Caenorhabditis elegans: one gene and its partners. The protein of the gene in region 4 purifies or fractionates together with the protein of the main gene of each other region. This does not show direct contact. Each region holds a gene or a part of one and is shown on either strand. Other genes may lie near its edges.

Region 1 (6,317 bases), on a different chromosome or scaffold from region 4:
CTCTGATTGTACGAGAAGCTCGCGAACACGTCGATCAATAACTTTTCCATATTGTGCTCCAAAGTCGAGGATGGCAATGCGTTCGCCACTTGAAACCTTCTCAACTGGAAGATTCTCGACAAGGGTGACGTGACTTCCTGAAGCTTTTCAACATATTAGTTTTTGTCTTAATTATGAAAATGTGAGTGAATACAAAAATCTAATACAAAAAAAAAGTTATTTTATTCTAAAATCACATTTTCATTGAAATTATCTACTTACCGTTCATATTGGCACTATCAAATCGATCTTCTGGCGCCTTCTTCGGTGGTGGAGCTTTGTTCTGAAATATTATAATTCTGTATGGTATGTATTTTCGGCTTTTTAGAGCAAAATTTGAGAGCTTGTTAAACGTGGAGCCTGCTGACATGCAGCTGCCAAGGCAGATGAAATGAGAGTGAAAATGGCTGAACTGTTAGGAGATAGTGAGAGACGCAGGGCATAGAGTGCAAAATAAGTTGGAAAGAGCAGCTTTTTGACTAAAACTGGCCTGAAAAGTCCGAAAAAAGTAGCCAAACATTGCTAAAATCTAAAATTACTCCAACTTCTCCTAAATTATTATCCTGAATTGCATCTTTTGGTCATTTATCTCTAATTAATTCATTGATTTAGGCACATTTTAAGTAGATAGGCATCAAAATTGGACGCCTACCGACTTAAAATGTGCCTAAATCAACCAAAATATGCAATAAAAGGTGATAATTTCATAAAAACAGTATTCCTCAATGCTTTGAGTGGCTCAAAACCGAGCATCGGGCGGCTTCAAGAGTAGGAAGAAGATGACAGCAAAAAACAAAGAAGAGATAGTTGAAAAGTTCTCTCAGCACAGAAACTGAAATCAAAATCAAACAATGTGAGAGAGAGCGAGAGAGTGGTGAGACGTAGAGATTGAAAAAAAAAGAGAGAAACAAAACCAAAGGGAACCTTTTGAATGACGACAAGAGGAAAGGAGAGAGCAGAACCAGTGCTGTAACAGAGAAAAAGAAATAATGACGAAAAAGATAAAAGTCAGGAGAGAGAGAGAGAGAAATGGTGGAAAATCATATTAAAGATAATATTTTAAAAAAGTGCTGCTGTACTTGGAAAAATTGCAAAATTTTTCAACTAGACCCTAGTTTCCTAGTTTTCCAGCATTTTAGTGTTCGGCTGGGAGAATATAACTACGATTTCGTCGAGGAGAATTTTCTACCAAGAAAATATATTTTCCAGTGAAAAACGCTTATCCCATGAGAAAAACCAAGGAATTCTCACTGAAAATTGTGATAAATAAGACAAAAACTGCCAACAAATATTAAAATATACTCGGTTTTTAGACGAAAACTATCAAGAAACGGCGCAGTAATCCTGAAAATCAGATAGAAAGTTCTAGAAAAGCCGGTATAATCTGAACTCCACGTCAATTAGGTCACCTAGTTTCGATATATCACTGGATTAACGTGAACATTTTTATTTATTTAAAAAGAAAACCCTTCAGGTTACAGGAAAATTAGCTTTTTTTCGCGAAAAAACATGTAATTTGAGCGCCGAAACATATGGTGGAACCCCCCTTGAACAGAAAAGTCGGCATGTGGCTTTAGTGACAACTGATCTTTTGTCTTCAGAGGAAGATATTGTGATTCTAGAGAACTTTGAACTATTTGGAGTCGGAAAAAACAGAATGTAGTTGCGGAGAATGCAATAAAATTGCAATTATTTCTTTTCTTTTATAGTGACGATTTCAGGGAAAATTGTAAAAGCCCTTTGCAGCGATAAAATAATTAAATTCAACGAAAATTCAAAAAAGAAATCCATTAGCAAAGCGGCAAGATCAAAAGAAAAGTACAAGTTCTGACCGTGGAATGTTGACTGTCCTCGTTGATGTCCAACATTGAACTCGATCTTTTCATAGTATGCTCACTGACTTTCGAGACGGCCTTTGTTCTTTTTGCACGCTGAAGCTAGGTTATAATGATTTGAAGTCAATGGAAAGTGGAATTTTTTGGCAATTTATAATGAAAACCTCCTTAAAACGCACGTTTAAACGTTGAAAATGCTTTTTTTCGTTTTTTAACGTTGAAAACCAAATCGGGAGCCAATTTACAGAAATGTGCGCGAATTTTCACCCAGTTTTTCAAAATTTTCACATTTAAATACTCACTTCAGATGGAAGGTTGCGGCAGTGACGTTTACTCTGACGCGCTCCAATTTTGACTCGTTTTGGCTGCAATTACTGAAATAACAAAATTTAGTGGATTCGGTGTTTTCTCGGAGATGAAGCGATGAGAATGTACAGAACACGGATAAACTTGCGATGAAAATTTCATGTCAATTAATTTAAAATTAATTTTTTCGGTTTATTAACATAAAAATTGACGGAAAAAACTTAAATTTAAAAGCTCGAAGAAAAAAACAAAAATTTGAAGAACTCTGGCGAAACGCCAAAAGCTCGCGGGTCTCGCCGCGATTTGCCGACGAGAGTGACTATGGGTACGGTGGAGGGACGAGAGAGTGAGAGAAACGGAGTGTAAAATCAATGAAGTGGTCGCTCCGTTTCGCAACTTTCCTGCTTTCTAATGGCTTTTAAAATATATTTTTGCGAAATTTAATCTTATTTGTGAACTAAAAAATCATTACCCAATCGTTTAGAGTCTTTTTATGTTTTTAATAGGTTGTAACGACTTAAAATCTGACATAAAAGTTTATTGTTTCAGGGAGCACACCCACATCCGGCTCGAAACTATCAAAAATGGTATTTTAATAAATATTTTAAAAACAATTTATAATAAATATTTACCAGGGAGAACAACAGCTCGATTGTGCCCTCGACTTGATGCGAAGACTTCCTCCACAACACTGCGACAAGAATTTGACGGACCTCATCGATCTGTGCCCTCATCTTGTTGATGATCTTCTCAGTATGTTTCCTTTTTAACTAATTTAAAAAAATTCGCTTGATGGTTTTAGGCACTATCGATCAACCGCTGAAAATCGCCGCGGACCGTGAGACCGGCAAACAGTATTTGCTTTGTGACTACAATCGAGATGGCGATAGCTACAGGTATGAGTCATTTTATTTGAAATCTATCGATTTTTTCTGATAATTCAGATCACCATGGAGTAATACCTATGATCCACCACTCGAGGATGGACAATTGCCATCGGAAAAGCGCAGAAAAATGGAAATCGAGGCAAATGCCGCTTTTGAGTCATACCGTGATTTGTAAGTTGACAGAAAAATCATATATTTGCTCATAAATAATAATAATTTCCAGATACTTCGAGGGAGGCGTCTCATCAGTTTACTTCTGGGACTTGGATAATGGAGGTTTCGCCGGAATTGTGCTCATCAAGAAAGAGGGAGACGGAGCCAAAAATATAACAGGATGTTGGGATTCTATTCACGTTATTGAGATCACGGAAAGAGTTGGTTCAAAAACTGTTGAAGAGTTTTTTTTTTTAATTTATAATTTTCCAGGCACGCCAGGCTCACTACAAGCTCACCTCCACTATCATGCTGTGGCTGCAGACAAACAAAAGCTCCAGCGGTGTGATGAACCTCGGTGGCTCCCTTACAAGACAGGTTTTGGTTTCGAGTTGTGAATATATTTAAAAAGAAATATTATAGCATGAGATGGATGCACCAATCAACGATCAGAACACACACTTGGCTAATATGGGACGAATGATTGAGGATCAGGAGTCGAAAATGCGTCTGACGATCAATGAGATATACTTTGGAAAGACGAAGAAGGTAAGCAAAATGCAAATTTATTATATGAAAAAAGTTTCATTTTTAAAAAGTACAATTTTCGAAAAAAATATTTTCCAGGTGATGTCGGATCTCCGTTCAACAGAGAAGCAGAGTGAGCTCGAGAAGCAAGATGAGATCGTTCGCGAGTTGAACAACGCCATGGCTAACCGCGGAAACTGAGTGATCTATCTACATTTGCAGCTCAAAATCTCTCATTTTAATGCTTTATTTGCGAGTTTTGTATATTTATCTACCATAATACCAGCTTGTTTCTTCTTTTAAAACCTTTTTTCATTGCCTTTTCTCGAGTGTAAACTTTTTTTCTAGAATTATTAAAATCTCTTTTCCCACAATTTCTCCTCGCTCCAAAGTGTATGTGCTATGGCTTTTCCACAATTTATTACCAAAATGCCTTGATGTTCCTTCCGAGAAGAGCTTGAGCTTTTCCTGGACCATTTTCGTTCTAGGTGCTCGTTCGACTGTTTTGTATTTTGCAATGTAAATTATCCTCTTTAAGATTACTTTTCATTTCAATTATATTTTCGATGAAAGTATTTTATTCCTTAAATTTAAAAAAAAAGAGAGGGTCTTCATCACCACTTTGAGAAATCTCCAAGGCCTGCTCTTGCAAATTTAGTTTTCTTTGCGGCCTCCAAGGGTACATCTTCCATTTTTCCTTGTCGTTTATTCACAGCTGCGGCCGACTTCATGTACTTGCCGACTCCAGTTCCAACTGCTTCTGGTTTTGTTGCAGTTTCTTTAGCTTTTTTATTTGCTAATGAAGCTGCGTCCTTAGAAGCTGAAAATAGATATCATTAGTTTTAAAATTAGTAATAGAATTAAGAAACTTTTCTTCAAAATCTCTGCTCTCTCAGCTTGAACTTCTTTCTCAGCTTCTTCAAATGGATCCACAAATACTTCAGCTCTCATAATAACAACTGAAACCATCGGAACATCAGTTCCCTCTTCAGTTTCCAACTTTTCAATCGTCGTTAGTGTATCCTGTCCTCCAACAAGTCTCCCAAAAATTGTGTGCTTTCTGTCCAAATACTTGCACGGCCGGAATGTAATGAAGAATTGTGATCCGTTGGTGTTAGAGCCCTTATTAGCCATCGAGAGCACACCTCGAGCATCATGGGAGAAACCGGAGATGAATTCATCTGAGAATGGCTTATCCCAAATTGATTCTCCACCATGTCCTGTACCAGTTGGGTCGCCTCCTTGCAGCTGAAATTTTTAATTATTTTTTGTTATAACTTTAACTATTTTTATAATAAATTTACCATAAAGTTTTTAATTAACCGATGAAATTTGGTGTTATTATAATATCCATTCGAACAATGTGTGATGAAGTTTTCACAGGCCTTCGGAACTTTCGGCGCGAATAATTCCAGATTCAATGGCCCAAAATTTGTAACAAGCCGCACAAAAGCATTTTTCTTAACTCGGCTGTACCGAACTGTATCATTATCCAAAACAGCTGCTTTATTGCTTGTAACTGGAGCCATTACAGTGGATGTGAATCCAGCTGCGACTTTTCCTTGACTATAATGTGCTGCATTGATCTCATCGGCAGTTTCATCAGTTTCTGTGGAGCTCTTCTTTGGGACATATTCCTTATCCAATTGATCAAGAACTGATTTGCAAGCATTATTCATTCGTCGAATGTAGAATTTTGGATCTTTCATTGCATCTTTTTCTTTTTTAATCTCTTCTGACGTCTTTAAATCAAGCTTCACGTGTAGAAACTGCTCCATATTGAATTTTTCCAAATGATTTGGGTCTTGAAGATCAATTATATCAGCTCTTGTGAACGGAACATCGGTTAGAAGATCCTTGAGATGATTTCTTTTTAAATTCAATTCTTGCACGGCTTCATGAGAATAGACGTTTCCGGAAGTAGCGATGGCCAGAATATGACTGTGGTCCGTGAATGTTCTGAATGTAACTGGGCATCGGAACTTTCCATCTTCTCCTTTATCGAATTTCAAGTGGATTAGATCCTTGGCAACCAACGGTTTTCCTGTACACGGGTTTTTGCCATGCTTCTTCAAGTAAGGAACGATAGCACTGAAAATTTTTTAATAAAAAGTAAAAAAAATAAACAGAAATTTACGTTAAATCGAAAATTTCTCCTGATCTTGCGCAAACTGGGTCTTCAAACGGTAGAAGTGACAGCGAGCAATGGTTGATGGGTAACCTTTTGAACTGTGCTCTTTGGAGTCTTGTTCCAGTATCTGAAATATGAAATTAAATCTTGTTTTTATTTATAACTCGTGTTTAAATAAAAACCATCTTTATGTCCTCCAATCGATTTCCATTCAGAAGTGGTCAGATAGAGTTTATCTTTCTGATGTTGCTTTTTTCCCATTTTATCTGAAAATAATACAAATAAATACTAGTTACATTTATGTAGTTATTAAGCTTAATTAAAATGCCGATTGTTAAAAATTGCGAAAACAAATCGGCTCGTAAATCTACACGAAAACCTAGGCCGGCGGCCGCCAGCCACCTCGGGTCTCGCCACGATCACATGTCGATTTACGCG
Region 2 (7,090 bases), on a different chromosome or scaffold from region 4:
GAGGCTTGCTATTTTCCGATGGGCAAAATTAGTAACTGTATGCAACGATCATCAACTATTGCCAATTCTCTTACAACAACTTTCGGGTTCAGCATATCGATTGAGAAAGGCTAATAATTTGAATTTATGCTATGCCCGACGTCTAATTGATGATCCACAAATGCAAGATGTGATGGCTGCTTGTCGAAAAGCAATCGAAGAATCAACGATTGAAACAAAAGGATTGTCTAAAGCTGTAGTAGGATGGTTGTTCACAAAGCATGAGGTGACGAGAACTGGATTCGATTTTTCTGTATTTGACCTGGACTACCTGCTTCAACTCATTCTTGCTGGTGATAAGAACATGTGGCTAGATTTTGTAAATATGCCATACTTCAATTCTGAGGAGTTTTCGGAAAGAAAGTTGTATTCTGTGACTTGCCAACTGTCACCTAAAAATCGTGAATCACCATTACCACCTGAAATAGGATCACCTCGATCCAGATCTTCGGCAAAACCGTTCCCAGTTCTACCTGTTCATTCTGGATTACCACAGGCTCCGCTCATAGATCCATCTATTCTCTTTCAGCAACATACGGTATTACAGCTTGCTTCTCCATTCATCAACACAATAAAACAACTGTCCAAGTAAGTTTTGATCAATTTGTTACCCCGTTGTGAAGTTTTGTGATTTTTCCACAGTGCCGGTCTCGACGCGGCATTTTTTTTTCAAATGCAACAAGGTGTGTGCCTTTAAAGAGTACTGTAATTTTTTTCGTTGAAAGCTGTGGAATTTTCATTGGTTTTCATAGTTCTTTTTCGATAAATATCTGTATCATCAAAAACTCAAACAATAAAAACAGTAAATCGGTGCAAATTCCGCAGCATCGAAAGTTTGCAATTACAGTACTCTTTAAAGGCGCACACCTTTTCGCATTTGGTAAAAATTTGTCTTGTCGAGACCGGGTACCGTATTTTTGGCACAAAAATCGCGAAATTTAGCGTCACCATAATAAAGTAGCTAACATATGAAATGTTTTCAGGCAGTTCGCACAATCCGGAGATAGAATGTCAATGGATGATGATTCATACTGTAAGCAGATCAAAGCCCTTTACCAACCAACACAGCAGACTATTCCTGTTGAAATTCGTTGCTCATATTGCTCGAAACCGAAAGCATGCACAATGAGCATTAAACCGAATGTTCTGAACTCTGAAATTGATTTACAAATGACTCAAAACAGGACTAAACGTTTCGAATTTTGGAATGAACTTTATGCTTCTATTGTCGATAAGGCTGCTGTAGCAACTGCAAGCATCGAACATCTATCTGTTCTAGTGGCTAAAATGACTTCAGCATTGCATCCTGGAACAAGAAATAATGTGCAGCTCACAGGACATTCACTCTTTTATCTTATAACATCTTCTGTTGGAGAGAATGAGTTGTTATTTAGTGTTGCTTCTGATTCATTTTGTAATTCACTCCGATCTTTGGGAGAAGTAAGCGATATTTTAATTTCTTCTTCATCTATTTATTTTCTATTACAGGAGTATGTCAAATTCCGTCCCGAAGAGCAAATGGACGTCATGCAACTGGCATTAGATGGATTTGTACTCTCTGAACCTCTTGTTGAGGTACATCGCATTTCTAATTAGTGGTGTTTTGTTGGGGGAATTAACAAAGCGGAACATAAAATCACCGCACTTTTGATTCATCTAATTATTTTAGGTCTTCACTCCAGAAGTGCTCAATTCGGACGATTTGTGCACAGCGTATAGAAAGCTATCGGACGCTGTGAGAATGCCGGAAAGAAGCAAGATGGCTTTGCAATTGTTAGGTAAGCAATAATTTATTATGATTCTATTTAACAGAAGAACTAAACCCATATTATATTATACATTAATTCCCGTTATGATCCAAAAACCGAAGATGCGTCTTTAGCTCTGACTTCCAAATATTCTCGCTTTTTGATGACATGCGTTGTGCAGATGAGAATTCTGAAGTTCTTTTGAATCGCCAGCAGCCTGAAAGAAACATTTTGTTCTTTCGCTGTAATTATAATTTGTACTCACCGTAAAGCTGCCACTTCCCAATAGGTAATTCCGCCGTTGACAAAGACCATGATGGCTTTTCGAGTACGATTATCTGGTCGACGATCTGCCGCAATATATGTATTCTCTTCGACTAATACTTTATCTTTTCCTGTAAGAAATATGTATTAGTTTCAATTATGAATCAAAAACTAAAACTGCTTACCAATAATTCGTTCATATTCTGCTTGATTCCATCCATGATCTATTGTATCTTCAACGATTTTGCAAAGCAGGGGAGAAATTCTTGCACCGAAAACATAACTCATATCAGAAGGATTTGACATATCCATTGGCTCGTTTCCCTTAACGATTCTGAACTTTCTTGCCAATGTTTCCCATGTCCTGGCACGTTCCGAAATAGTCCGATCGTGTGCGATATGTCGACGGGCGTAAATAACACGGGAATTTCGAAGATTCTGAAGTTCGAACATATGCTCGTATCCGTACTTTTGTAGATACATTTCCACGAATTCGTTGTACGTATCATCAGGAACTCCGTCTAATTTGAGAGATGCAAGTGACATCATCGATAGAACCACATCACGACAGGATCTCATCGGAACTCTTTCAAAAACAAAATCAAAATACTCTTCATGGGTTACGGTTCCGAGTAGCATTTCGTGTTCTAATTTGAACATGGTTCGATAATCTTCCATTTTAACTTTATTCATCATCATTTCGCATGCATTAATGTGCAATTCACAATGCTTGTGATCCTTTTTGAGCGCTCTCAGGTCTTTTTCAACAAAGTTTCTATAATCCGCAACATCATCAATCATCGATGATTTTTCGATACTTTTCTGTATCGATTTCGCTTTGGAATGTAAAAACTCCAGGGCAGCTGTGACGTGCTTGTTTCGAATCGATGCAAAAATGTCCTCACAATTATCCAATTTCACTGTATCTCCTCTATTTTGTTGATGTGCCTCCTTGTCTTCTTCCGGATTAATCTCGATCCAATCAAAATCCAATGGGCCAGTTTGAACTTGTTTCCGTAGATCTACTGGGAAAGCAAGCTTCCCACAATCAATGGTAAAAAATTCATGAAGAAGACCTTCGTAAGATGCTCCGGTCAACAATACAGGAACCGGATCAAGTTGACGATCGAATAGGAATAAATGACTAATTGGTTGATCTGGTCGAGCTCGAAGTTCGTTACTAGAGCACAGTGCATGAACTAGGTTCCATAAATTCTTCGATTCAGATCCCAATCCGTAGACTGTTGGGATTACTCCGTATAAATTTTGAAGTGCTACAAACATGTTGGCAACAGAGAAAAGATCCGGTTGCGCCGATTCCACATGTTGCAATGAAAATAAATCGCTTTCTAACGGCAAAAGGCACATATTCAGGCTAAGTTGAGTTATGTGTCCAATGACTCCAGACGATTCAAAAGCGAGATCGCATTCTTCTAACTGCCTGTTGCACCAGATCACACAAATAGATCGGTTTTCGCTTGACTCTTCCACGTACTCGACAATTTTTCTGGCGTTTTCTACGTTGGGTCTTAGAAAGAAGACTCGCTGATCGATTTCGATGTTCCAAACCTTTGAGAAAAAACAAAAATTACCAAATATAATTGGACTTCACTATTTACCTGTGGTGATTTCTGTAAATCAAAATGCATTATTCGTTTCACTCCGTGTCGTTTCATATCTGATGATGTGGCAATCATATCGAGTGGTCTTAACAGACATTTATCGATAAAAAGCTCTTTTGTTCCTGAAATTATAACATTCACAAAAATGAAAAAAAAACTATTATTTGAATACCTGGTAATGTTTCTAAATAATGTATGAATTCCCTTTGCATAACCATCCGAAGCAAGTGCAAAGTCTCATCGATTTCCAGCTCGGCGGTACCCGGTGCCATGGTTGATTGTTTGAACTTTTCAAATAAATATAGTCATGGAAATAAAATAAAATAAATTGAGTCTTCCTGCGTGGTAATATTATCGTTCTGCATTGAACCGCGAAATGTGATGCATGCAGACACGGCAGCATACTTGACGAGCGAAAAGAGTATATAAGATGAAGAGACGCAGACATCAAAAGTTTTCTTACAGGTCGCCTTGGCATGCAACAAGCTGCCGCTGGCTTACCTCCACATCAATTCGCCGCTCTTTTGCCAATTGCATTTGCAAATCTTGCCAGTCAACCAGATCCTTCGTCTCCACTTCATGCATTGTGTTTACAGGTAAAATAATATAAGAAGACACACAAACATTCTGGTTATTTTCAGCATGTCATTTTCTTTGTGTTTCACCATTTCCCGGATAACATTGTTAATGGACTTGACTTGACTCTGGATGGATGTAACACGAATTCAACTCCTGCTTCACTTTTGGACGCTATTGTTGATAAATTGGATGCAAACGATTACTTGAAGAAGAAAAATTCGTTTGACTTGGGAGCTGCCAAAGCTGATGAATGTGCTAGAATATTGTCTAAGCGATTGGATGAAGCAAGAACAAAACTTCCGAATTTCTATGGGTAAGTGTTTATGATCGTACATTTTATTATTTTTTGGAAAACTCTATTTTTAGAATATGGTCTCGTTACTTGGATTCAGTAACTCGTCTCGCGCAACTGTTCCTTTTTGTGCCTATTCGTGATGGATACGAGCCCAACAAGTCAGTTTCAGTGCTGCAAAGAGAATGTTATGAATATTTCACCCGTGTTGCCGCAGTATTTTCGCCATTGATCGCCCCATACTCTCCAACTCACCCACCTTTCTCGACCTCCCATGAAGCTCAGGCAATGCTCGTTCTCGATCGATTCGTCGACTTTCTATCTGCCCTTCATTTCAATTCAAGTATACCACCTGGAATGCAGAACATTCAGTCATTGGTTTGGCAGTATTATTGTGAAAAACTTTCTATTCTGACACATGGGACTCAACACTATTATGATGTTATTGAACGGCAACTAGTACGACTGAATTGGCAAGCTCTATGGCCATCAAGACTCGCTATAACAGCAATGGAAAATTGTCTGGATACAAGATCACAAGACTGTGCTTCATTTATTTCACAAATGGTTGCTCGTATTCCGTGGAGCAATATTCTTCAAACAATGCACGAGGATAGTAGACCAAGCTACTTGGCTTCTTTATTCGGAGTACTTGTTCGTCTTGCTGCTCGTCCTCGAAATTATGATAAAGTCCGTGCATCGTTGCTGGAGCTTTGCAAATCATTTTCGCTACGATCTGACTGGAATAAAATTTATCCGGAAGATGCTGCCGGAATAGCATCTGCTGTAACAAAATGTTTGCCCTCGGATTCATTATCAAATCCCGTGGAAATGGTATCAGTAATTCAAGTTATATGGAGGAAAATCTGTTGTTTTGTTGTACGTGAGCCATTCTCCGAAGTATCCCTTCAAAAACAGAAGTTGTGGATTCAAACCGAAAGTTCTCTACTTTTGAAAGCGGAGTCCTCACAAATTCCCGCAGCTTACAATTCACTAATTTCGGATGTGAATGCACTAGCCTTGAATCACTGTAAGTATATTTCCAGAAACTCAATTTTTCATTAAATTTTTCTCTACAGCAAATCTACGAGAATTCCGGGTCGTCACTCGCGAACTGACAGCAATGTGGAAGAATATCACAGATGCCAAACTAGGAGGTAAATTAATTTATATATAGACATCTTTATTCAAATTTTTAAATTCAGAAGCTCTTGTATCTATATGGTCGGAATATTTGGCTGCAAATCCAACTTCTCCTCTTGTTCTAACATCTGTCAATACTTTAGTCGATTCATTGAACATTGATCAGTTGACAACTGCATTGAAAGTTATTGAAAAAGTTATATGTGCCTACTTCCTAAGTAAGTGAGATTTTATAATCTCTTAATTTATATTTTTGGTACTTCAGGAACGGACAGTAACTGGGCAGAACTTCTTCATTGGATTCAATTTCCCACAGGAAGCTTGAAATCTATCAAATCATATCTCATGACTGTACCATCATCAGAGAACAAAGTTCAGATGCTCCCATTGACTCTAAAAATTTTCATGGATTATGGGGGCGTTGATGAGAACAAATTCTTTGATTTGCACCACTACGTGATCAGTATACGTCCTAAACATGTCGCCTCGGAATCTGGTTTCATATGTCTCCTGGCTCGTCATCTTCAATGGATGGCAAATCGTAGTTCTGCACTTCCTGCTCATTTTGCACCAAGTGATGACCTTCTTTCATCTCTAATTAAATATCTTGGAAAAGCTTCCAAAGACGAATCGAGTTTTTTGACTGCCCTAATCAGCAGCAAAAAGACAGCATATTCTCAAAAGTATGTTTAAATTAATTTTATTGCAACCATTGAACAAAAAAAACTTATTCAGAATGCGTGTTACTCTTCACATTCTGGAACTTTACTTGACGCAGCAAACACTCGGAGAAGGAAAGCGTCCTAGATGTGATGCCAACTCACCGGTACTCAATTCTCGTATATCAACCTTGAAGGATCTAGCTCAACAAAAATCCAATCAGAATATGAGCAATGCATTCAACAAAGCCACCGCATATTTTGTACAGATCGAGACTCATCGCATCCAATCATCGCCCAAATTGCTTCTCGAAATAGGTCGATCCGCGTTTGGAGATCTTTTCCTTACTGATGTATAATTGTATCCTATTTTTCTTTGATTTCCCCATTCTTTACTCATTTTCTGGATCCCATTCACTACTTTTATGTGACAGCAAATAACGGGTTTCCTGCTCACCGATTCATTTGTGTTCCCTCATAGTCAGTTTTATGCACTTTGTATCCCTATGCACCTCATTCCCATTTTCATTAATGTGAAATAGTCATGGAGAAAAATAATGAATGAATAGTTTATTTTTCAATATTTTAAAGATAATTTTATATTTCCGTTGGCAAGTGTGCTCCATTCGTATGCCTTGAGAAGTCAGTGTGGGGATCGATAAGCTTGAGAGCAGGAGGATTGAGCACTTGGAGAAAATAGAAACTGAAGGAAGAGACGGAGACGCGAGAGTCACAATGAGTCCG
Region 3 (6,332 bases), on a different chromosome or scaffold from region 4:
CGGCGTTTTGAGTTTTGAGTTTTTCTAGGTTGAAGGTTATCTGAAAGTTGGAATAGTTATGCAATTGGTAAAGTATTTCAGGTAATTTTAATGATGCATGTTCTCTTTTACACTGGTCTTAAAATGATCCATGAAATATGGCAAAAATTGCAGTGAAAATTCGCCAGCTACCGTACCCTTGAGTTTCATTGTGCGTGTATCCGTTTTTTTCTAATATTTTTGATTTATAACCTTTTTTAATATTAACAATTATTAGAAACATGATACATATCAGCCAACCCATTAAAAATAAAACATACCGTACTCACGGGTACGGTAGCTGGAAATATATTTGACTCGTAGCGGGACCGAGAATTTAAATACCTCTTTGCATTTGATCCTAAGTTCCCCAACAGTTTCCAGCTCCGAATCAGTTATTTTCTCCTCCCGTTCATTTCGCTTTGAATCATTCCCGGTCTGTGGAAATTTCGGATGTATTATTGCGTGGCGAAATTTGCGATTTTTAAGACAAAAATACGATGTCCGGTCTCGACGCGACCTAATTTATTCGAATGAAAATTGAGAGTGCGCCTTTAAGAAGTACAGTAGTCTCCAGTTTCGCCTTTCTCTTTTGCACAAAAAATTTCCTCTTTCTTTTCTACATTTTGTTTTTTTTTCTCAATTATTTAGTTTCACAAAAATATTTTTTAATGAAAGTTTTCTAAAGAAAATATCAAATAAACTTTCAAAACACCTTTTCGCGGATACTACTGTACTTATTAAAGGCGCACATTATTTTTCATTTGAATATATTCGGTCGTGTCTAGACCATATTTGAGCCATAAATCGCAAATTTTCGCATCTGGATAATAATCAAATAGTATTTTATTCTTTTCCTTTTTTCAAAAACATCTGATATTGTCATGTGAATAATATTAACATAAAAGTTTCTCACTTACTTTCAAAAATTCAATTTCATTTTTCATAATTTCTTCAGTCTTTTCCATTTCAATAAACAGCTCACTCTTTCTCTCACTTTCATCTGCCAGTTTCACACATTCTATACGACAGGCTTCAATTTGTTGCTCAAAAAGTTCAATAACTTCTTGCTGCCGTTGCACAACTTCCATAAGTTCTTCGAACGTGGGATTGCCATCTCCAAAACTCATCTGAAACTGCCAGATGTTGGCTGCGTTGGGCTAAAGATTTCAGAAAAACAAAAGAGCATGCCACAACACAACACAACACCTAGCAAGAATCAGAAGCGAACGGATACGCTATTAAGAAAGACGAACATGGGGCGGTAAAACAGTTCATCTTCTTTTTTTACTTATCACAAGAAAGGGATTATCGGAAATCGGAGCTCAAATGGATTGATTAGAACAGGGGATTGAATTGAAAAAAATTTGAAGGGCGACACAAAATGATGGTGGTGGCTGGAGGGAGGGAAAGTGAATGACAACCAAATCGGGAAACGTAAACTTGACTACTTTTGCTCATAAATAATAAATACATTATTTAACAGTGAAAAGAATTGAAGCGAATATGCGAAGGAAAAATAACGGCGAGAAAAATATAAGTGTTTGCGTTAAATATTCAAGATACTTGTTTATTTTCCAGCATGTTTCAGACCAGCAAGCAGGGTTTTCAGACGACTCAGATCCTTTCCACTCTTCGATTTTTGTTGATCAACGAGCTTGTTCACTGTTTCCCATTGAGCATCTCCATCTTGTTGCTTGGCGAAAAGTTCTTGATTGGATTTCTCGTTTTTCCTGCAATTTTTAAAATGAAAATTGGGAAAAGTATAATTTTGAGCAATTTCTAATAATTTAGCTATTTTTGTTCAAAATGATTGAATTCAATATTTCATGCAAATGGTTTTACGTGTTTAAGAATCTAATCGAATTTCGAAAACTTACAGATTTTCGTCATGTGACAATTGAAGGGTCTTCTCGCGTTGTTTATACCACTCTTCAAGCTCCTTCTTGGCATTTGCACGAAGTTCAATCTTTTTCTTTTCTTCAGCTTCATCTTTTTTCGAAAGAAGTTGCTCTTGCTGAGCTTTCCACAGTCGAATTTTTTCAGCCTCAATTCTTGGGACAGTTGAGAGAATTGGTGATGGACCTTTAGAACCTCCGGAAGAAGCAGAATGATTTCCATTCACCATTGGTTCTACGGCAGGAACAACGATTGCTGGTGCGGCAGCATTGTCGTCGACAAGTCCATCCAAATCGACTCCGGAATCAGTTGGATGCACAACCGGTGGTGGCTCGTCACCAGCAATCTTAAAAGCAAAATATTATATTTTTTGTTGAAGAAAGTTGTTAAAAACCTGGAGGTCTCCAAAGTCATCATCAAGAGCTGGAGCTGGAGCATCGGCTTCTGGCGCATCTAGAAAAATCACTTTAAATGTAAAATAAACAAATGAATCATCGATTTCATGAAATTTCATAACAAAATCTTACCTGGATTAGCTGCTGCAGCTGCTGGTGGTGCCCCATCAAAATCAGCAAATAAATTCTGTTCACGAGCCAAAAAATCCGCCACTGGATCCGACATTTTGTAGTTTTTTTGTGTTTTATACCCTGGAAATTCAAAATTTAAATGTTTTTGGAAAAAATCAATAATTAGCAGATAAAACAAGTGATTTATGAGACAGAAAAGCTTTAGAAAACACGAAGATGACAAATCAAACAAGCGGTTAAACTGGAAAATCCGAGAAGGACAGCGTGTTGGGAAGAGCGAAATAGTGGAATGAATCAAGAGGACAGCTGGAGCCGCAACGCGCGCACGCGACGCGACCGGTTGTTGGCGGAAGTTTGAAAATTAAATTTCGCAACAGAGCTTCATTTTTCGCGAAAATTTTCGTGAAAAGGAAATTAATCATAGGGATTTGTAGAGAAACTTCCGTGTTTTAAAATCTCAAATTAAACGATTTCACTACTGCTCAAAAAATGTTACTTCTCTCTTTCAGGAATTTATTGAACATTTAAAACACTGCCAAAGTAGAGTTAGATGAGTGTAATTATATTCAAACTATTTCAAGCCCGTTGAATACCCAAAGCTTTTCACCTATATTGAAAATCAATATTTATTTAATCAATAATAAGTATGTTCCCGCAACATTAAATACCGTATCACAAAATTGAGTGAATGTTATCTACTTTGAAATGACTCACATTCGTAACGAGTCACAAAAAAGAAAAGAAATTTGACATCATTTCTGTGGATCTTCTTTGTATAAAGGTTTGAAAAATGAGAACGGAGTTGACTTGATTTTAAAAGTTTTGGAATGTCCACCCTTCCCGTATTTTCTTCCGATGGTGAAGTATACATAAACTTTTCTATAATGATTTGAAAAGTTTCAGATGATATATCGTCAGAACTACTTGGCCCTTTCAGGTATTTGGTGAAGCTTTCATTGCTAGATTGTTCTGCAAAATCTAAACGAATGACTATTTTCACATGCATTTTAGGACTTTTTATGATCGTAGTAACACTCATAAGAATTCCAATTTTAATGGAAACAGTTGGAACTGTAAGTGGAAATTGAGTTTCAAAACAGAAAAACTTACGAGATATTTTCTACAGCCATTATCGTTCGGATGGGGAGAAGGAAATTTTTTCGGATATTCTGCCTTATTTGGATTTGTGTGCTCCCTTTGTGTTTTTGGGTGGACTAAAAATGGACTGGTCCAAAAGTTTTGCGGACGATTGGTACGAGTTCGAATGTTACGACAGGTGGCAAATCCAAAGTTGGATAATTTTCGTATTCTGCATATTCTTGCTCTGTGCTTCTCAATACCTTGGTTTGTAGCAATGATGTCTTGGATAATCTACAATTTCATCAATGGAAAGATATATTATGGAGGGTAAGTTCTAGTCTAGGAAAATCTGGGAATGATAAATGAAATTTCGATTTTTTTAAATGTTTGAATGTTTCAGAGGAGAGCAAAATTTTCTCTCGCGAATTTTCATTCTGGTTACAAACTTCTACATTTGGTACATATCGACAATCTGTCTTGCAATTTACATTTTTATCTCTTCTGCTCTGAACCGCGAAGTTAATTATTTTAATGAAGAGCTGCAAAAAGCAAAAGAAGAGAAAACATTGAAAAACATTGGCGTTTTAGAAAAATTCGATATCCGACAGAATGAAATTCTCGAGATGATATTAGTTACCAATGGCTCACTTTCGAGCCTTGGCGGATTTGCACCATTTTTCTTGTTGTGGAGTCTAATCAATGGTATCTATATCACCTCGTAAGTGTAAAAGTCCCGGTAGCAAAATTTGGCTGATTGTCTAAATTATAATTGAAAATAGTAACTTTAAATTACAGATTCTTCAATTCTAATCCTCTTTTATACTCAATTATTCTTGGATTCAACCTTGCTGCAATAATTTTTTACATATTTTTCGTGCTGATTCCACCATGCACTCTACAAGAACATCTGAAATCTACCAACTGCATTTTGATCAATAATGATGAATTTGAATGCACAAAAGATCCAATTGTATATCAAACTTATCGGATAATGATTGATCGCCTACAGAAAATTGAGACTCGAATTTGCATTATAGCTTCCCTACCAATTACGCAAAACACTTTTGCGGCATGTACATTTATTATTCCAAATTTTGGTTTTCTGTTAATAATCATTAAAAAAGTTATTCTTGCCAATGGTGGGCACGTTTGATTTAAATGATCTCAATTGTTTCTCGCGTGGCATTTTGTGAATTTTGAATAAAGCTGGAAACCTTTTTTTCGTAATAACTTTAAATTTGAGGGAAACCCCATACATTTGATTCTTTAATATGTATATTCTAATTCAAAACTACTAGAAAAAAACGTAATTTGAAAGGAGTAGTGTACAAACATTGTTAAAATCAAAATACTCATACGGAATAAGAAAAAATGAACAAGCCTTATCAGGTAAATGAAATACCTGAAAAATCAAAATTCCCGTATGATTTTTAGTGATAACATTTTGGTTCAAACTTGACTCATTATTTTTGGTCACAGGAAATGTGCACAAAGAGCTTGTATATTGGAGCAGCCTTTGGCTAATATTGGACAAAATATATCATTCCTCAGCAAAAATAAGTACAATTTCGAACACTCTCTCGGGTTGATTTATTAAAATATACAAGTAAGTTGAGAGATGTCATGGAACTACACTTGAAGTTCCAAAATGGTGAGGTAGTAGAACTGGGTACTGTAACAATGTCTTAAAAAAGGATTAAGTTATGGAGAATATTCTTCTAGGAATTTGTTGCTTACAAGATTATTAACGCAAATTCCTGAAATTTAGAATTTCTACATGCCATATTAGTACCAAATTAAAAAAATTTGAACTTAATGTTGAAAATGTCGTTTTCAAGCACCTCCAAACCTGACTTATACATATTAGGATCACATCCGAAGCAAAATATTCCAAGAATATATCACCTGTTAAAGTAGATATGATCCACCTTGAAATGACTCAGATTCAAAAACGGTCACACAAAATGTACCCAGCTCGCACACTGCGTCTGGGTCTCTTTGGTTTGCCCAATGTTTCCTCCATTTCATAAAAATCGTGCCAGTAGACCGAAGCTTATGGAAACAATCAAAAAAAGTATAAATAAAGGTTCAAAAAGTGAGAAAAGAGTAGAGTTTTCATTTCAGAACTCGATAAATTGATGGTAAAAATGTCAAATCTCCCAGTTTTCTCTTTTGATGGTATGTTGAATCAAACTTGAATCAAACCCCAATTTATATTTAAAATTTCAGATGACAAATCATCAGAGTTACTTGGCCCTTTCAGACACTTTTTGAAAGTTTCATTGCTAGATTGTTCTGCAAAAACCAAATGTTGTTCTATTTTTACATGTCTTGTTGGAGTTATTATTGTCATTATAACATTCATGAGAATTTCAGTTTTAATGCAAACAGCTGGAGCTGTAAGTAGGCAGTGCATTTTATAATTAAAAATACAGGAAATAATTTTCAGCCATTCTCTTTTTCATGGGGAGAAGCGAGTTTTTTCGGGTATCCGGCGATTTTTGGATTTGTTTGTTCCTTGTGCCTTTTTGGTTGGACTAAAAATGGATTGGCTTCAAAATTCTGCAAACGACTGGTTCGAGTGCGAATGCTACGACAGGTGGCAAATCCAAAGTTGGATAACTTCCGTATTCTCCATATTCTTGCTCTGTGCTTCTCAATACCTTGGTTTGTAGCAATAATGTCTTGGATAATCTACAATTTTATTAATGGTAAAATATATTATGGAGGGTAAGTACATAGCTCATTATTAGCAAAGGAAGAATCATTGAACTCCAGTTCTTTTCTATAATGCACCTTGTGCTAGTC
Region 4 (10,558 bases):
TAAAAGAAATGAATGGATAGCATATTGGAAAATATTTTTGGGTCAGGTATGCTTAATACAAAATTTCCAAAAAAAATGATTGAGAGCTGTTTATTTGTAAATCTATAATATAAAAGTTCCACAGAAAACAGCCGTGTGCGGCATATTTCAAAATTTGCCGAGCTCGGCAAATTCGGCAAATCCACTTTTTGAAAATTGCCGAGTTCGGCAAACGGCAAATTTGGCAAATTTACCGCACACCTCTTACAGAAACTCCAATTTTTAGATAGCAAATTGTATACTTGATATTATTTCATGCGGTGAAACCTTTTAGACTATTAACAAAATTCCAGAATACTGTAACTTCCCGATAAACTTAAATTGTTTGACCTACCGTTGTGAATGTATAAGTATTAAAATGACACAGCTGCAGACAGGAATCTGGAAGACCTCGAGCTTCACAGCACGATCGGAAAATAAAATTGGGATTTGTTAATCTGTCAACACTTAAATGTTGGGATGTCTTCTCCGGTCGTAACGCGACACTTGCTTCTGCCAACTCAGCCTGTTCATGTGTCTCATCGTTTACCAAGACTCCGTCAATTCGTTTAGTTAGTGAGCCAAACGCTTTTCTTCGAGCACAACCGTATTGTCCGCAGGCATATCCTTGTTGGCATTGATTTCCTCCACAAGATACCTGTGGAAAATTAGAGTCAGAAAATGAATTCGAATGAATTTTTTAACAGTCACAAATGCTTTGATAGTCAAATCACTTCGATAGCAGTGACAAATTTTCTTTCTACAAATGACTTATGAAAGTTATACGGGCATTAAAATTCAATTTCAAGTTAACTATGTTTTTACTTACCGGTGGAGGAGTCCGCCGTTTACAGCAACCACCTGATTGACTGCAACAATGCATTAGACCTATGCAAAACGATAAAATAAGGAGTAGAAGCTGCATGGTAGAGCTATCAAAAATTAGCAAAACTTCTTCAGAACTTGGGTTTTTATATCAATTATTAAGTTGACGCAACTGGTATTTTGAGTACCTATACCTAGCCGCAATTACATATTGTTAATTGGTAGTCACTCAAGAGAACTCAAGAGGATTTGAGAATATTCGAGAGGTAACTGGAATAAGTGGTCATCTACTTGGGCTTTGGCTAATTATAATTATAGTCAAGTGTAATTATCAATGAATATAAAATCTGAGAGTTTCAAGTAACATTTCCATAGTTTCATATCTCCTCTACCATCATGATCCGAATCTTCTTTGTTCTTCTCGCTACTCTCCTCATTCTCACCGATGCATGTGGATCTAGTGGTGCATGTGGTTGCTGTGGTTGCCGAGCAAAAGCAAAGGCGAGAGCTGCAAAACGAGTTAGTGGAGATTTGGTTCAAGAGTTTGATGGAAAGGATGATGGAAATATTTTTGGACTCAAAGTCTGGAATGATACGAAAACTCCAATCACTGAAAAGAGCATTCAGTTGTTGACAGTAAGTTTGTTTCTGTACATTTGGTAGATCATGGGGATTTTACTGTAAAAAAGTCAAACTTTTAAATATATTTCATATCAATTTTCAGAATCCTAACCACTTGTTCCATGTATGCTGTGAGGAACGACAGTTGCCTCCCGCATGTGTTCAGAAATGCCATTTTAATGTTTATAACAAAGGAGTGGTAGGTTTAAATAGGTCAAGTTTATATTGTGAAATTGAATTTCAAAAATTGTATAGCTGGAATCAATGTTCTTTGGTTCAAGTGAATGCCCGATTGAATTCCTGCCAGAAATGCAATTTTGTGCGGCTCAAGGAAAAGATCATAGCCAGGTAAAAGGTCGTTGAAATCTGCTCAATAACTTCTTACTAGTTTCAGTGTTGCTCACAAAGTCAGGTGGATGCAACGACGGCTGGAAGTAAATGTCTAACCTTCTGCGATCAAACACCCGATCTCTACACTCCAATTGATTACAGCTATGCGCCTTGCCTAGACAGGTTTCCATATCTTTTTATCTTCCAATTCTCGAGGCAAAAGTCATGTTGAATTAAATTGGTTGCAGGTTCGAGGACATGAAACGATGCTTCTATGATAATGTGAAGTCGGATGCAATCACACATTTCGAGGCGAAAAAGAGTTTGCAGGATAAGAGTACATCTTATTAATTGTTTTTGATTTTATATTTACTTAACTTGAGATTTCGAAATAAAATGTGCGATTTCGCAATACCCATCACGACATACTTTGTATTTCATTTTCCATTAAAGCGGAACTATTACACATTTGCGAATTTCTGTGGCAATTGCATAAAAAAACCGGTACCGGGTCTCGACACGAAAGATTCTCTTAAATGCAAAAAGTGTGATCTTCGGTCCGTGGAGTACTGTAACTTCCAGCAGGGCTAATACAAGAGAATTTGAACAGAAAACAATACATAACATTTTTATTCAAAAATGCCAAAAAATTATAATACAATTCAATTTTGAAAACAGTTTTTCGTTGTATTTTGGACCAAAAAAATCGGTTTTTTTTTGCGCAACGTTGTTGGATTCTCAACGTGTTTTATCTCAGTTTTTCCTTGAATTTCGGTAAAACAGAACAAAAAATGAAATGTTCAAAAAAAGTGTTCCAAACTACAGTACTCCTTAAAGGCGCGCACACTTTTAAATCAAAGAAAATTGGTCGTGTCGAGACCCCGTACTGTATTTTTTGTGTAAAACTCGAAAAATTTCCGTGTATGAGTGATCTACTGATTGAAATTGAGAAAACAAAGTTTATCCGCAGATCAAATTTGTTTTTTTTTTCTTTTCAATATTTCACGGCAATCATTTCTTAATCCAAACACGTAATTCACTGTCGTAATTGCTGATGACTCATTCATTTCATACGAACGCTTTTCTTTTGTCAATCCTTCGGCCGTACAAACATAAATTTTTCCTTGTGAAATTAAAAACTCCGCCCAAAGCGAAGAAAATTCCCAGAAGAAATTCGGCGGAAAAGCGCGCTCTACCGAGAAGCGGGGCGCGTCGCGTCGCGTGCCCTGTGATGACAGGGCGACTTGTTCAAGCTTGGCAAACAGGAATCATTTCTCTCGATCAACTGGCTTCTGCATGTTTGACAAAGCTCTCTCTTGATAAGACATTTCCGTTCAATTGTTTTATTTTTACGTTTTCCCTCTTTTTAGGTGCGCTATGAGTCCTCAAAAATTTTTCTTTACTCAGCAAAGAGTTCTAACTTTTGGAATTACAATTTTTCCTTCATTTCAAATCATTCACAGTAATAACAGCGGCCAAAGCTAGCTTTAAAGCTGTATATTTTTCCATTTATTCCTTCAATCTACCGATATTCACTTCTATTTCCCGGAAATGTCTCACTTTTGTGATAAATTTTACGTGACTCATCTTTTTATTTTTATCGTGTTCTCTTTTCTTTTTTTTTCAAACATCTCCATTTGCAGGTATATAATTTATTGTAAGAAGTTTTTCCATTCTACACACAGTTTTCAAAGATGGCGCTCCCAATCAAATTTCACGAGCACCTGCAGCTTCCGAATGCTGGAATTCGGGTGCCCAACATTACATTCTCCAATGTCACAATGGAATCTGATAAGAACATTGTTGTTCGTGAGATGGTAGGTCAAATAATCGCAATTAACTGTTCTAAACGGATAATTTCCAGATTGGTGATCAACAACAGGTTGTGATTATTGATTTGGCCGACACAGCGAATCCAACTCGTCGTCCAATTTCTGCTGACTCAGTAATCATGCACCCAACTGCCAAAATTCTTGCTTTGAAATGTTAGTTTTCAGTACCATTTGACTCTGAAGCTTATTTATACCTTTTTTCAGCTGGCAAGACACTTCAAATTTTCAATATTGAGTTGAAAGCAAAAGTGAAAGCTCATCAGAATGTAGAAGATGTAGTTTATTGGAAGTGGATCAGTGAGAAAACGATTGCACTCGTTTCCGACACAGCCGTCTATCATTGGTCGATCGAGGGTGATGCAGCTCCAGTCAAGATGTTCGATAGACATCAGTCGTTGGCCGGAACTCAAATCATAAATTATCGCGCTGATGCCGAAAACAAGTGGCTCGTTCTTATTGGAATTTCCGCAAAAGACTCCCGTGTCGTTGGAAGTATGCAATTGTACAGTACCGAGAGAAAAGTATCGCAGCCAATCGAAGGCCATGCCGCTTGCTTCGTTCGATTCAAGGTAGGACTAATTCGATGATGGATTTGTCATATTAATAATGTTTTAGGTCGATGGAAACCAAAACCCATCTAACTTATTCTGTTTTTCCGTCAAAACCGATAATGGAGGAAAATTGCACGTTATTGAAGTAGGAACCCCAGCTGCTGGAAACACTCCTTTCCAAAAGAAGAATGTTGATGTTCCATATACCGCTGACACAGCTGGCGATTTTCCAGTGTCTATGCAGGTATGTTGCTTATAGTCGTATAAACAAAATTTGATATCTTTCTGATTGATTGTTTATAATTTCAAAAGCTGAATGGTGTTGTTTATAAAATAAATTGTTGGTTTTCAGGTATCTGCGAAGCAAGGAATTATTTACCTGGTAACAAAGCAAGGATATGTTCATCTTTATGATGTCGAGTCTGGAACACGGATTTATTCGAATCGAATTTCGACTGATACCGTATTTGTGACCTGTGAATACACAGCTACAGGAGGAATAATGGGAATTAACAGAAAGGGACAAGTTCTTTCCGTCTCTATCGATGAAGCTAACTTGGTTCCGTTCGTTACGAACCAGCTGCAAAATCCAGATTTGGCTTTGAAGTTGGCCGTGCGTTGTGATCTGCCTGGAGCTGAAGAGTTGTTCGTTCGCAAATTCAACTTGTTGTTCAGCAACGGACAGTTTGGAGAATCAGCCAAGGTTGCTGCATCGGCTCCACAAGGAATTTTGAGAACACCAGCCACCATTCAAAAGTTCCAGCAGTGCCCGTCTACTGGTCCAGGACCATCTCCACTTCTTCAATATTTCGGAATTCTTCTCGATCAAGGAAAGTTGAATAAATACGAAACACTCGAGCTGTGTCGTCCGGTCTTGGCACAAGGAAGAAAGGAGTTGATAACGAAGTGGCTCAATGATCAGAAGTTGGAGTGTTGTGAAGAATTGGGAGATCTCATTAAGCCGCACGATGTGAATACTGCTCTTTCAGTCTATTTGCGTGGAAATGTCCCGCACAAGGTTGTTCAATCTTTTGCTGAAACTGGACAATTCGACAAGATCGTAATGTATGCCAAGCGTGTCGGATTCCAACCAGACTATTTGTTCCAACTTCGTCAAATTCTCCGTAATTCGAATCCTGATCATGGAGCAAAATTCGCTCAACTTCTTGTCTCTGAGAGCGAAAACGGAGAACCACTTGCTGATCTTTCACAGGTAACGAATGAGAATAAGGATTTGGCTAATTTAAACCTTTTCAGATCATTGACTGTTTCATGGAGGTTCAAGCTGTTCAACCATGCACTTCATTCCTTCTCGAAGTTTTGAAGGGTGATAAGCCGGAGGAAGGACATCTGCAAACGAGACTTCTTGAAATGAATCTGCTCGCTGCCCCAGCTGTTGCCGATGCTATTCTAGCCAACAAGATGTTCTCTCACTACGATCGTGCCGCTATCGGACAACTCTGCGAAAAGGCTGGACTTCTTCAAAGAGCTCTCGAACACTTCACTGACCTCTACGACATTAAGCGAACTGTTGTTCACACCCATCTTCTCAAGCCTGATGTGAGTTTCTAATTAGATTTCTAAAATAAATGCTAATTTATTTTCAGTGGCTCGTTGGATATTTCGGAAGCCTTTCTGTTGAAGATTCGGTCGAATGCTTGAAAGCCATGCTCACTCAGAATATCCGACAGAACCTCCAAGTCGTTGTGCAGATTGCATCCAAGTATCATGAACAGCTCGGAGCTGACAAGCTGATTGAGATGTTCGAAAATCACAAGTCATACGAAGGTCTTTTCTACTTCCTTGGTTCGATTGTCAACTTCAGCCAGGACCCAGAAGTTCACTTCAAGTACATTCAAGCTGCCACGCGCACAGGGCAAATTAAAGAGGTTGAGCGTATCTGTAGAGAGTCGCAATGTTATGATGCCGAACGTGTCAAGAATTTCCTTAAGGAAGCCAAGCTCAACGATCAACTTCCTTTGATCATTGTCTGCGATCGTCATAACATGGTTCATGATCTTGTTCTTTACCTGTACAGAAACCAGCTCCAGAAGTACATTGAAGTCTTTGTTCAAAAGGTTAATGCCGCCCGTCTTCCGATCGTTGTTGGTGCTCTTCTAGATGTTGATTGTAGTGAAGATGCTATCAAACAATTGATCATTAACACTCGTGGAAAGTTTGACATTGATGAGCTTGTCGAGGAAGTTGAGAAACGCAATCGTTTGAAGCTTTTGAATCACTGGCTTGAATCGAAAATCCAGGAGGGAGCGACTGATGCTGCTACCCACAATGCGATGGCCAAGATTTACATAGATTCTAACAACAATCCCGAACGATTCTTGAAGGAAAATCCCTACTACGATAGCAAAGTTGTTGGAAAGTACTGCGAAAAGCGTGATCCTCACTACGCCTTCTTGTCATACGAACGCGGACAGTGCGACGCTGAATTGATCAACGTGTGCAACGAGAATTCACTATTCAAGAATCTTGCAAGATATTTGGTGAAGAGAAGAGACTTCACTCTGTGGGAGCAAGTTCTCAACGAAGAGAATGTTCATCGTAGACAGCTGATAGATCAAGTGGTTCAAACTGCTCTTTCCGAAACTCAAGATCCCGAAGACATCTCTGTGACTGTTAAGGCATTCATGGCTGCCGATTTGCCGAACGAACTTATTGAACTTTTGGAAAAGATTGTTCTCGATAACTCTGCATTCTCGGAGCACCGTAATCTTCAAAATCTGCTCATTTTGACTGCAATGAGAGTAAGTTAATTATTTTAGAAAACATATTCGATCAATCCACTTTCAGGCCGATAGAACTCGTGTGATGGAGTACATTCAAAAGCTTGACAACTATGATGCTCCAGATATTGCTAACATTGCTATAACTTCTGAACTCTACGAAGAAGCGTTTGCCATTTTCAAGAAATTCGATGTGAACTCAAGTGCCATCAATGTTCTTATCGAGAACGTGAACAATTTGGATCGTGCTTACGAATTTGCTGAAAAGTGCAACCAGTCAGATGTCTGGGCATCTTTAGCCAAGGCACAGCTCCAACAAAATTTGGTGAAGGAGGCTGTCGATTCGTTTATCAAGGCCGATGATCCAGGAGCGTACATGGAGGTTGTGAACAAATGTTCTCAAACGGAGCACTGGGAAGATCTTGTTCGTTACCTTCAAATGGCTCGCAAGAAGAGTCGTGAGTCATACATCGAAACGGAACTCGTTTTTGCTCTGGCCAAGACTGGTCGTCTCACTGAACTTGAAGAGTTTATCGCTGGACCAAATCACGCTCAAATCGGACAAATTGGAGATCGTTGCTTTGACAATGGAATGTTCGATTCCGCTAAGATCCTTTTCAACAATGTTTCCAACTTCGCCAAACTTTCCGTTACTCTTGTTCGTCTTGGAGAATATCAAGGAGCTGTCGATGCTGCACGCAAAGCCAACAGCACGAAGACATGGAAACAAGTGTGCTTCTCTTGTGTCGAGAATGGAGAGTTCCGGCTTGCCCAGATGTGTGGACTTCACATCGTTGTCCACGCTGATGAGCTTGAGGAATTGATCAACTTCTACCAAGATCGTGGACATTTCGAAGAGCTCATTGCTCTTCTCGAAGCTGCATTGGGTCTTGAACGGGCTCACATGGGAATGTTCACCGAACTCGCGATTTTGTACTCGAAGTATAAGCCAGAGAAGATGCGTGAGCATTTGGAATTGTTCTGGAGCCGTGTTAATATTCCAAAAGTTCTTCGTGCTGCCGAGCAGGCTCATCTTTGGTCCGAGTTGGTGTTCTTGTACGATAAATACGAAGAATATGATAACGCCGCACTGACAATGATGCAGCATCCAACTGAATCTTGGAGAGAGCAACATTTCAAGGAAGTCATCGCTAAAGTCGCTAATGTTGAGCTATACTACAAAGCAATGCAGTTCTACCTGGATTATAAGCCACTTCTCCTGAATGACCTTCTTACTGTGCTATCGCCTCGGTTGGATCATTCGCGCACAGTTTTGTTCTTCAATAAGCGTAAGTTTAAATTTCGTTTAGTTTTTAAACTTTTAATAACAATAATTTTCAGTGAAGCAAATCCCACTGGTCAAGCCTTACTTGAGACAAGTTCAAAACTTGAACAACAAGGCTATCAACGAGGCTTTGAATCAGTTGCTCATTGATGAGGAGGATCACGCCGGGCTTCGTTCTTCTATTGAGGCTCAAGACAACTTTGACAATATCACTTTGGCCCAACAACTTGAGAAGCACCCACTTGTGGAATTCAGAAGAATTTCCGCATACTTGTTCAAGGGAAACAACAGATGGAAGCAATCGATCGAGCTTTGCAAAAAAGACAAGCTGTACAAGGATGCCATGGAATACGCTGCAGAATCGAGAAACGGAGAACTCGCCGAAGAGCTCTTGTCATTCTTCCTGGATGAGAAACTTTATGATTGTTTTGCCGCCTCCCTTTACCATTGTTATGATCTCCTTCACCCCGATGTCATCATGGAGCTCGCTTGGAAGCATAAGATTATGGATTACGCCATGCCTTACATGATCCAAGTTATGAGAGATTATCAGACGAGACTTGAGAAGTTGGAGCGTTCTGAGCATGAGAGGAAAGAGGAGAAGGCTGAGCAGCAACAAAACAATGGAATGACCAGTGAGTTTTAACAAATATTTAGAATTTAAATTTATTTGATATTTTCAGTGGAACCACAACTTATGCTTACCTATGGTGCCCCTGCCCCACAAATGACTTATCCAGGAACAACTGGTGGCTATGGCGGACAGCCTGCTTACGGTCAACCTGGACAACCAGGATATAATGCCCCTGGATTTATGTAATTCGATAGTTTTATCCCCATTTTCTTACCCCCACCCCCTCACTTTCTCCCCGCATCAATAATTATATTGTAATTTATTGCTTGATGTCTATACACTTTTTTTGTTTAAATTATGATATTCTATTTCTATTTATTCCGTCCCCTATGAAATTGTGATGGTTGTATTCTAATCCGTGAACTTATCCTTAAGGTTGTTGGTCCGATGTGTCGTCTCTCTCAGTTCTGCCCGTTTTCAAAAAAAAGTTGATCACAACTCTTTTAAACCACCAGAACCATCATGAATAAATTAATTCGTTGTTACCAATCGCGTTCGAGTTTCGGATGAAATACTGGTTCAGTCCATCATCATAACATTTTAGTTTTACGATTTTAACTTTTTGTATTATTCACTAGCTGAATTTTTTAAATTGAGATCTAGAATAAGCCATTTTCAGGCCGTATAATGTCTACTAAGCCCGCCGCCGCGAAGACGAAGCCATCGTGTAGTGAAGGTGGTGATCTACGTGTTGAGACTGAAAATGGTTCGTAGATTAAAAAATTCCACCGCGAAGTTTTGTATAAATTTAATTATTTTGAAGGTGAAACATTCATCACAGCAACACAAAGAGCCGACGGAACTTGGAGAAAAGCGAGACGAGTGAAAGGAGGGTCAGTAATCTGGCGATACTGGGAATATAATACCGCTTGTCGATTTACGAAGAATTTTGTACTAGACGTGACAGAAATTTCGATTTTTCGGCTGTTTTTGCTGATTTTTAGGCGAAATTTTGAAAGAAATATCGTAGTTTTTCCGGGGAATTTCATAATTTTCTCACAAAAAGTTGTATATTTTACCGTTGTGTTGTTCGTTAAATTATTCCTAATTTAATTATTTTGAATTAAAAAGATTGTACAATTGAAGCCAAATCTGTAAAACAATGCGAAATTGCCACTTGTCCACGTGTAGTACAAGATTTCTCGTAAATCGACATGCATAAATCCGCGTCGCAACTTTCAAGATCTTTTCTCCGCTTTTTTAGTTGTATTTCATAGAAATCTTAACAAAGATCAAAAAAAATTAATTTTCGGGGAAAAAAGGACACTGTAAAAAAATTAATTTTTCTCGCGGCGAGACCCAAAATCTGTGCGCCTTTAAGTACGCCTTTCAAGTACATAAAAATACAAATTTCAGATATATTCCTCAAGATGAACAACCAAAATATCAAAATAAAATGCAGCTGGAAGCGACAAACGGCCGAAGTTCTGTTCCAGCAGGAGTGAATCCACGTGCAATGGCTTCTGGTTCATCCCGTAAGCCTGTCAGTGGTGAGTCTTAAATATAATAAATTATACATATTTGTATAATATTTTCTCCATTTTTTCAGCCATCAAAGCTAACGTATGCATCACACCACAGGATCATTTCCAAAAGAAAATCGATTTGACGAAAAAGAAGATTGAGGATATTGAAGGAATGGAATCGAGAATCGCTAGCGGGGAGCTTGTTCCTCAACCGAATCAAGTGAAGAAGATCGCACGAAAGCAGGAGTATTTGGA

The links.
Region 1: the proteins of chc-1 (region 4) and cap-2 fractionate together in Caenorhabditis elegans (co-fractionation; one large-scale study listed by BioGRID). This does not show direct contact.
Region 2: the proteins of chc-1 (region 4) and vps-33.2 fractionate together in Caenorhabditis elegans (co-fractionation; one large-scale study listed by BioGRID). This does not show direct contact.
Region 3: the proteins of chc-1 (region 4) and clic-1 fractionate together in Caenorhabditis elegans (co-fractionation; one large-scale study listed by BioGRID). This does not show direct contact.

What each region holds. Positions count from the first base shown.
Region 1 is NC_003280.10:10,866,467-10,872,783, forward strand, and holds cap-2 (F-actin-capping protein subunit beta), read left to right. Parts: upstream 1-2,729; 5' UTR 2,730-2,764; coding exon 2,765-2,767; intron 2,768-2,815; coding exon 2,816-2,933; intron 2,934-2,982; coding exon 2,983-3,076; intron 3,077-3,124; coding exon 3,125-3,238; intron 3,239-3,290; coding exon 3,291-3,441; intron 3,442-3,493; coding exon 3,494-3,598; intron 3,599-3,643; coding exon 3,644-3,769; intron 3,770-3,847; coding exon 3,848-3,949; 3' UTR 3,950-4,361; downstream 4,362-6,317. Other genes in the region: gmps-1 (putative GMP synthase [glutamine-hydrolyzing]), read right to left, coding at 1-143, 262-322, 1,872-1,925; cyn-4 (Peptidyl-prolyl cis-trans isomerase 4), read right to left, coding at 4,363-4,568, 4,618-4,996, 5,053-5,839, 5,886-6,006, 6,062-6,140. UniProt on the Caenorhabditis elegans protein: F-actin-capping proteins bind in a Ca(2+)-independent manner to the fast growing ends of actin filaments (barbed end) thereby blocking the exchange of subunits at these ends.
Region 2 is NC_003280.10:6,598,179-6,605,268, reverse strand, and holds vps-33.2 (Vacuolar protein sorting-associated protein 33B), read right to left. Parts: upstream 4,054-7,090; 5' UTR 3,946-4,053; coding exon 3,846-3,945; intron 3,796-3,845; coding exon 3,671-3,795; intron 3,621-3,670; coding exon 2,237-3,620; intron 2,183-2,236; coding exon 2,053-2,182; intron 2,005-2,052; coding exon 1,890-2,004; 3' UTR 1,818-1,889; downstream 1-1,817. Other genes in the region: epg-5 (Ectopic P granules protein 5), read left to right, coding at 1-627, 1,023-1,479, 1,528-1,614, 1,709-1,817, 4,139-4,269, 4,315-4,565, 4,619-5,574, 5,624-5,701 and 3 more. UniProt on the Caenorhabditis elegans protein: Plays a role in vesicle-mediated protein trafficking to lysosomal compartments and in membrane docking/fusion reactions of late endosomes/lysosomes.
Region 3 is NC_003283.11:7,732,348-7,738,679, forward strand, and holds clic-1 (Clathrin light chain), read right to left. Parts: upstream 2,565-6,332; 5' UTR 2,539-2,564; coding exon 2,445-2,538; intron 2,371-2,444; coding exon 2,312-2,370; intron 2,264-2,311; coding exon 1,899-2,263; intron 1,752-1,898; coding exon 1,589-1,751; 3' UTR 1,277-1,588; downstream 1-1,276. Other genes in the region: T05B11.7 (uncharacterized protein), read right to left, coding at 1-40, 364-456, 939-1,148; srr-10 (Serpentine Receptor, class R), read left to right, coding at 3,272-3,302, 3,348-3,517, 3,571-3,851, 3,925-4,242, 4,320-4,677; srr-9 (Gustatory receptor), read left to right, coding at 5,663-5,702, 5,754-5,923, 5,974-6,254.
Region 4 is NC_003281.10:10,200,384-10,210,941, forward strand, and holds chc-1 (putative clathrin heavy chain 1), read left to right. Parts: upstream 1-3,437; 5' UTR 3,438-3,488; coding exon 3,489-3,611; intron 3,612-3,658; coding exon 3,659-3,779; intron 3,780-3,830; coding exon 3,831-4,195; intron 4,196-4,241; coding exon 4,242-4,421; intron 4,422-4,529; coding exon 4,530-5,390; intron 5,391-5,434; coding exon 5,435-5,737; intron 5,738-5,784; coding exon 5,785-6,939; intron 6,940-6,985; coding exon 6,986-8,207; intron 8,208-8,259; coding exon 8,260-8,838; intron 8,839-8,886; coding exon 8,887-9,023; 3' UTR 9,024-9,321; downstream 9,322-10,558. Other genes in the region: dbd-11 (DB domain-containing protein), read right to left, coding at 374-676, 848-943; dbd-12 (DB domain-containing protein), read left to right, coding at 1,240-1,479, 1,568-1,663, 1,720-1,812, 1,859-1,977, 2,043-2,145; T20G5.9 (Partner of Y14 and mago), read left to right, coding at 9,465-9,543, 9,601-9,670, 10,194-10,327, 10,387-10,558. UniProt on the Caenorhabditis elegans protein: Clathrin is the major protein of the polyhedral coat of coated pits and vesicles. May play a role in yolk protein clatherin-mediated endocytosis by oocytes during oogenesis.